Linked DNA regions of Callithrix jacchus. The protein of the gene in region 2 binds, or shares a complex with, the protein of the main gene of each other region. Links are inferred from orthologs where the notes say so. Each region holds a gene or a part of one and is shown on either strand. Other genes may lie near its edges.

Evidence for each region. The genes of interacting proteins can lie anywhere in the genome.
Region 1: the proteins of APAF1 (region 2) and CASP9 are in contact, whole or in part, in a crystal structure (PDB 4RHW), measured with the Homo sapiens proteins. The link is inferred for Callithrix jacchus from reciprocal best matches to the Homo sapiens genes APAF1 and CASP9. Residues at the interface, in NP_863651.1 of Homo sapiens: Thr22, Ser23, Tyr24, Met26, Asp27, Ile30, Ser31, Ile37, Glu40, Glu41, Arg44; in NP_001220.2 of Homo sapiens: Asp23, Trp26, Asp27, Leu30, Arg36, Pro37, His38, Glu41, Gln44, Arg45.

The regions. Positions count from the first base shown.
Region 1 is NC_133508.1:52,830,599-52,834,116, forward strand, and holds part of CASP9 (caspase-9), read right to left. Parts: intron 3,516-3,518; coding exon 3,426-3,515; intron 2,224-3,425; coding exon 2,076-2,223; intron 1-2,075. UniProt on the Homo sapiens protein: Involved in the activation cascade of caspases responsible for apoptosis execution. Binding of caspase-9 to Apaf-1 leads to activation of the protease which then cleaves and activates effector caspases caspase-3 (CASP3) or caspase-7 (CASP7).
Region 2 is NC_133510.1:101,750,655-101,754,172, reverse strand, and holds part of APAF1 (apoptotic protease-activating factor 1), read right to left. Parts: intron 2,463-3,518; coding exon 2,224-2,462; intron 1,827-2,223; coding exon 1,659-1,826; intron 570-1,658; coding exon 438-569; intron 1-437. UniProt on the Homo sapiens protein: Oligomeric Apaf-1 mediates the cytochrome c-dependent autocatalytic activation of pro-caspase-9 (Apaf-3), leading to the activation of caspase-3 and apoptosis. This activation requires ATP. Isoform 6 is less effective in inducing apoptosis.

The DNA.
Region 1 (3,518 bases), on a different chromosome or scaffold from region 2:
AGAGCTCTGCTGGGCCACATACTGTGGATAAGACAGGAGTCGAGGCAGAGAAGGATTTCTATAACCTCGAGAGTAGCAGCCTTCCCTGCTTCCTATTACTGCTATTCTGAGGGAACTGTGTTGGCAACAGCAGGGTGGGGGCTTCTTATGTGACACTCCAAAATGGGAGTTGGGGGTAGTCTGGGTCTTCAGTCATTAAAATGAACCAGTCACTGTACACATACCAACGAGAGCATTAAATAATATCAAAGTCAGCCAAGCACAATGGCTCATGCCTGTAATCCCAGCACTTTGGGAGGCCAAGGTGGGCAAATCACTTGCGCTCAGGAGTTCAAGACCAGCCTGGGCAAAATGGCCAATCCCTGTCTCTACAAAAAAATAGAAAAATTAGCCGAGCATGGTGGTGTGCACCTGTAGCCCAGATACTCAGGAGGCTGAGGTGGGAGAATCACCTGAGCTTGGGAGTGGGTTCTGTTACTCTCCCCATTTGCTGAGATGTCTAGAGATTAACTTACCCAGGGTTGTGTGGTCAGTAGCCGATCCAGGGTTTAATCAAGTGTTCTCAATCACGTGCGGTCAGGTCATGGACATGGGTCATGACAGTGTCTTAATATCGTTCATGTCAAATTATAAATTCCAGGAAACTGAAACTGATTTTCCCCTATCCGCAGCATCTAACACATGGCCTGGTATATACAGCTGGCGCTCGATAAACACTTACTGGATGAATGATGTGGCCAGAGGCCGTCCTTCCAGGCAGCCTCCACCCTACTCTGCCAACATGGAATAGGTATGGGGCAGCTGGATGTACACAGGAGAAACATACCACAGGTGCCCACATCACAGCTGGGCAAGCTGGACAGCACTATGGGATAACAGTGCCCACTTATCTGGCAGATCAGGCTAGAGGCAAGGAACTGATATACCTTCTCAATGTCCCAGTCCCCGGAGAGCCTAGGGCAGAGGGGATTCCCTGGGACAGAATTTCTAGTGCTCCCTGATATTCCTGTCATGACCCACAAACCAGGAACCCCGTATTTCTCTCTCTTCCCTCTTTTATAAGAAAATCAGGGGCTGAGCTCAGTGGCTCACACCTGTAATCCCAGCACTTTGGGAGCCCAAGGCGGGAGAATCACGAGGTCAAGAGATTACCAGCCAGGCTAACACGGTGAAATCCCATCTCTACTAAAAATATAAAAAGTTAGCTGGGCATGGTAGCACACACCTGTAGTCCCAGCTACTCAGGAGGCTAAGGCAGGAGAAGCGCTTGAACCCGGGAGGCAGAGGTTGCGATAAGCCAAGATCACACCACTGCACTCCAGCCTGGGCAACAGAGCGAGACTGTGTCTCAAAAAAAAAAAAAAAAAAAAAAGAAAAGAAAAAGAAAATCAGATAACACTGTAGTAGGAGTTGAGTGTAAAATCAGAGCATATAGCAAAACTAAAAATAATCCAAGTAATCCCTTAAAAAACAGACAAACAAAAAATAGAGACAGGGTCTCACTATGTTGCCTAGGTTGCTCTCAAACTCCTGGCTGAAGCAGTCCTCCTGCCTCAGCCTCCCAAAGTATTGGGATCACAGGCGTGAGACTGCACGCGGCCCAAGTAATCCTTAAACATTCTCCAAAACCCCACAACTACGCTTTTGGGAATTCCAATAATTAAATTCTTCATTTTCTTCTTGCAGTTCTTCTGTGGCCACCCTTTCTCTGGGATAGTGGAAATGGGGTCTAGTTGATGGAGGTCAGGGCAATGGTGACAAGAAAAATAAAAAGAGGTCTTTCCTCTCTCTTGGGCTTTGTTTCTTTTGCCAAGTCTCTGGAATTGAAGCTGCTGAAGTTACAGGAGCCCGTGACGCTACTGTGCCATGGAACAAAAGACTCTAACCTCTACAGAGCAGACGGAGTGGAGGCCCGCTCCAGCCAGGCAGGTGCTGCCACAAACAGACTATGTGTGGTACCCTCTGACTGCCTGGAGAGACCTCGTGAGCTCTGTGAGGGGCAGGCTGGAGAAAGAAACAGGTGGTGGCCCCCTCCCCGCCAGACCCACCCACAGGGAGGCTGAGGAGCTGCTTACCCCCACCACAGGCCTGGATGAAAAAGAGCTTGGGCTTCCCTCCCAGGCTGGGGCAGCTGGTCCCATTGAAGATGTTCACAATCTTCTCAACTGACACAGGGTATCCATCTGTGCCGTAGACAGCCCCTGGAAACTGCAGGTGGCTGGCCTAGAAGATCAAGAGCCTTGGTTACAACACCAAGAAGCTGGAGTAGGAATCCCACAGCCTATTCAGAGGTTTCATGGGGGCCGAGCATTCGGAAGGTCAAAGCCAGGGGCACTAGGCTAACTGAGACAGAGAAGTTGGTTCTGGAAAGACTGGTCAGCATCTGTTCCAGGGGTCTCATCTCAAACTCATATCCCTCTAGGGGCCAGACAGTATGCCTGGAGAGTGCTGCCTGCGGCCTCTAGACCACTGGCTCTCAAAGTTTGGCCCCTGGAGCAGCAGCATCAATATCACTTGGGAACTTATAAGAAATGAGATTCCCTGGCCCCACCCAGACCTCCTCATCAGCAGTCTGGTCCTCCAGGCCCCTCTGACTGAGGCAGCTCAACGCTAACAGGGGCTGCTTTAAATCAATTCAGCTCAAACCTCAAGTGCACGGAAATCACCTCAAGTTCATGGAAGTCATATTGGGCAGACTGGGAATGAAGAGGTCCAGGGTAGGGCCTAGGAGTCCACATTCCTCACGCGCTCTAGGGACCACATTATGAGAGAAAGGACCAAAGGGAAAGCCCTGCCCAGCCACAGGCTGGAGTTTTACTGGCTAAGGATTCCAGACAGGTCAGGCCAGACCTTTGCGGTTTGTCAAGAGAAACTAGGAATCATAATTTTTATGTGAAATTTGCCAGTTTTCAAAACACTGCACAGACCACAGGGGGACTCCAGGCCCAAGCTTGTAACTGTGATCTGTCCAACTCCTCAACTTAATAGATGAGGAAATCAAGGCCCGGGAAGGGGTAAGGGCTTAGCCACATGACAAACACATGAGTGAGTGTCCTGAGTCCCACCAGCAGCAAGGGGCCTGGAGCAATGCCTTGAAGGACAGGGACAGAAGCTGAGACATCATGTGTGCTGTGCCTGCATATGAACAAGCTCCAGGGGCAGGAGCTTTGTAAGCAGACCTGGTCTCTGCCCTCCCTCTCCCAGAGGGCTTCTCCCAGGAACAATGCCCTGCCCAGGAAGGTGCAGCCAACTCTTCAGAGGACCACATGTCTCCCAAGAAAACAGCAGGAGGTGGGCAGGGCCCCACAGCCCTTTTCCACAAAGCCAAGGGTGTTTTGGATACAGGAAGGGAGAGGGCCCCTGCATGGCTGCTTGGCACAGCTTTTACCCAATGCCTGCCCAAGGAGCAGAGGGAGGCTTCCTACCTGACAGCCGTGAGAAAGGATGACCACCACACAGCAGTCCAGAGCACCGTGGTCCCGCCGCGCCAGCTCCAGCAAAGTCAGCCTCATTTCCTA
Region 2 (3,518 bases):
ATCTTCAGCTGGCCACGGTGGCTCATGCCTATCTATGATCCTAACACTTTGGGAGGCTAAGGCGAGTGGATCACTTGGGCTCAGGTCAAACTCAGGAGTTTAAGACCAGCCTGGGCAACATGGTGAAACCCCATCTCCACCACAAATACAAAAATATTAGCTAGGCATGGTGGTGTGTGCCTGGTAGTCCCATGGGGGACTGAGGTGGGAATATCACTTGAGCCCAGGAGGTTGAGGTTGTAGTGCCACTGCACTCAAGCCTGAGTGACAAAGTGAGACCCTGTCTCAAAAAATAAAAATAAAATCTTCAATACAATGGAAAGCATATATATAAAGAAAATTCAAGACAAAAAATAAACCAGAAAACAGCACTTATTTGCAATATTTATGGAAAAAAATAAAGTCAGATAAAAGAATTTTTTAATGGGTCATGTTACCTTGTGCATCTTGGCACTGGCCATGTGGTAGGCCAGAAAGTTGTACCAATACATACAGTCTTCCTGATCTGGTAAAAGATTTGGCAGCTGGTAATATCTCTGAAACTGAGTGATCATCTTCTTATGTAGATCCTGCAACCCAAATGAAACATTTCAGAAGCCAGAAATAATTCTATAACCTAAGCGTCACAGTAACTTCAGCTTCCAAAGCTATTAAGAATGTACAAAGGCCAGGCTCAGTGGCTCACGCCTGAGGATCACTTGAGGTCAGGACTTCAAGACCAGCCTGGGAAACATAGGGAGATACCCCTATGTTTTATTTTTGACAAAAAAAAAAAAAAAAAAATCAGTCAGGTATGGTGGCATGTGCCTATGGACCCAGCTACTTGGGAAGTAGCTACTCAGGACCATTTGGGCCCAGGAGTGCATGCCAGCCTGGGCAACACGGTAAGACCCTGTCTCAAAAAAAGAATATACAGAGAATCTCCCCACAAGATAATGACTTTACAGTGGAGAAACCTGGCAGATACCACTTTAACCGAATTACCAACATTAACATCACCCATAATAAAACATATCAACACCAAGAGGCTGAGCACGGTGGCTCATAACTATAATCCCAGCACTTTGGGAGGCCAAGGCAGGTGGATCATTTGAGCCCAGGAGTTCAAGACCAGCTTGGGCAACATGGCAAAACCCTACCTCTACAAAAAAATTTTTAAAAACCACCAAGTACTCTCAGGATATGATGCCATGGAGAAAGATACAACCTCATTTCTGTGGTGGTCTTGTCAAATACGTATAACTTCTATCCAGTCAGGAGAAAACATCAGACAAAATCACATTTGGCTATACTGTACAAAATTACTAGCCAGTACTCTTCAAAAGTGACAAGGTCATGAAAGACAAAGACTGACGAATTTTCACAGATTTGAGGAGACTAAAAAAAATGACAAGTAGGGAAACAAGACAATCATGCAATATGGGATCCTAAATTAGCCTGGACCACAAAAAGGACGTGTAGGTTAGTGAACAGTGTTGTATTAATGTTAGTTTTCTGGCTTTAACAATTGTACTATGGTTACATAAAATGTTAACATCAGGGGAAGCTAGATGAAGGGCTTATGCATAGAAACTATCTACTATTTTGTAACTTTTCAATAAATCTAACATTATTTCAAAGTAAAAATATTTTTTTAAAGTGAACTAAGATGCAAGTACCTGAAGCTGGCTGCGATTCTTTTCTGTAAGAAAATCTACTTGAAGATCGTGTAAATAATAACGAAACGACTTTCCATTCCGATCACAGAATAAAAGAGACTTATTTACAAACTCCTGCAGTATGTCTTCAACTTCTTCAGTTTCCATGTCCCAGAGAATGCATAACACCTAGGAATCATTGTATTTAATATGCCGCACAAGTACAATGACCAGGACTACAGACAGGTGTTAACACACACACACAAAAAAAACTGCATCTTAAGGCCCTGAGTAAGAATGTCTTCATTTCCTAAAAAGAAATCCAACTACTCCTCAAAATAAAAAAGAGAAAGAAAAGTCAGATGCTTCTTCAGCTTCACTAGAACCACAGAAATAGGTTAACTCCTGAGTTCAACACAGGGCCCTTAATGGAGGCTAACAGCAGAGGGACTTCTATATCCAACACCCTACCACCTCAGTCCCCTGGGTCTTATCCTTCCAAGGTCCTCTGTAACAACATGCTCAGTACTATATCAAAGCTTACATGCAATAAATACCCAATGATGAGGACCGTTGATCCCATTACCTTTGTAGGCACCTTAACATCCTTGGGAAGGATGGAAAGATCTGTGTAATAATTTTTGATGTTTTCTCTGAGCATTTCAACACTTATAGACATGGCTTCATCTAGAGCCTCATAATCATAAGATGAAGATTTCCTTATTCTCTTGAACTGTTTATTCTGAAGTTGTCTGAGGTAGTACTCCCAGCGATTGGGAAAATCACGTAAAAGTGCACCAATTAAAGATACTACAAGGGGAGAGCCTAAAAAAAAAAAAAAATGAAGTCATTGTGCTAATACCGTCCTATTTTGTCACTACTAAGAATCAACTTACTCTTAAGGAACAATTTCTGCTGCATGTTATCAAAAGCCTCAAGTATTTATCACTCTTGACTTTACTTCTAGAATATTTATTCCAAAAAATATTAGAAATAAGAAAGATTTCAAGGAAGCAAAACACACTGCCATGTATGTACCTACGCAACTGTCTTGCATGTTCTGCTCATGTACCCCAAAACCTAAAATGCAATAAAAAATAAAAAATAAATAAAATAAATAAATAAATAAATAAAAAGAAAGATTTCATTTAATAAATTCCTGATTAGCTTTATTAAGTCAAAATAATATAGATCAAATCTGGCTAAGACATCATTACAAAAAAAAGAAAAAGAAAGTCAGCCTGGGCAATATAATGAGAGCTTGTCTCTACTGAAAATAAAAATTAAAAAAATTGGCAAGGTGTGGTGGCATGTGCCTTGATTGCTTGAGCCCAGAGGTTGAGGCTGCAGTGAGCCATGATGCAGCCTGCACTCCAGCCTGGGCAACAGTGTGAGACCCTGTCTTAAAGAAAAAAAAAAGCATGATTTCATTTAAGCATATTCATCCCAGCATTATTTAGAATAGTGAAAAAATCTTAAACAATGTAAACAATGACAATAACAGAGAAGTGGTTGAATACATTAAGATACATCAATACTATGCCACTGGTAGAAATATTTTCAAAAAACTATTTAACAACATGAGAAAATGCTCAAGATACATAAAAAGGGGAAGATACAGCTGGGTGTGTCAGCATGCACCTGGAGTCCCAGCATTTTGGGAGGCTGAGGTGGGAGGACTGCTTGAGAGCAGAAGGTTGAGACCAGTCTGGGCAACATGGTGAGACCCAGTCCCTACAAAAAAATTTTTAAATGAGTCAGATATGGTAGCCGGCATCTGCAATCCCAGCTATTCAGAAGGCTAGGGCAGGAGGACTACTTAAGCCCAGACATTCAAGACTGCAGTGAGCTGTGGTCACTGCACTCCAGGCTGGGTGACAG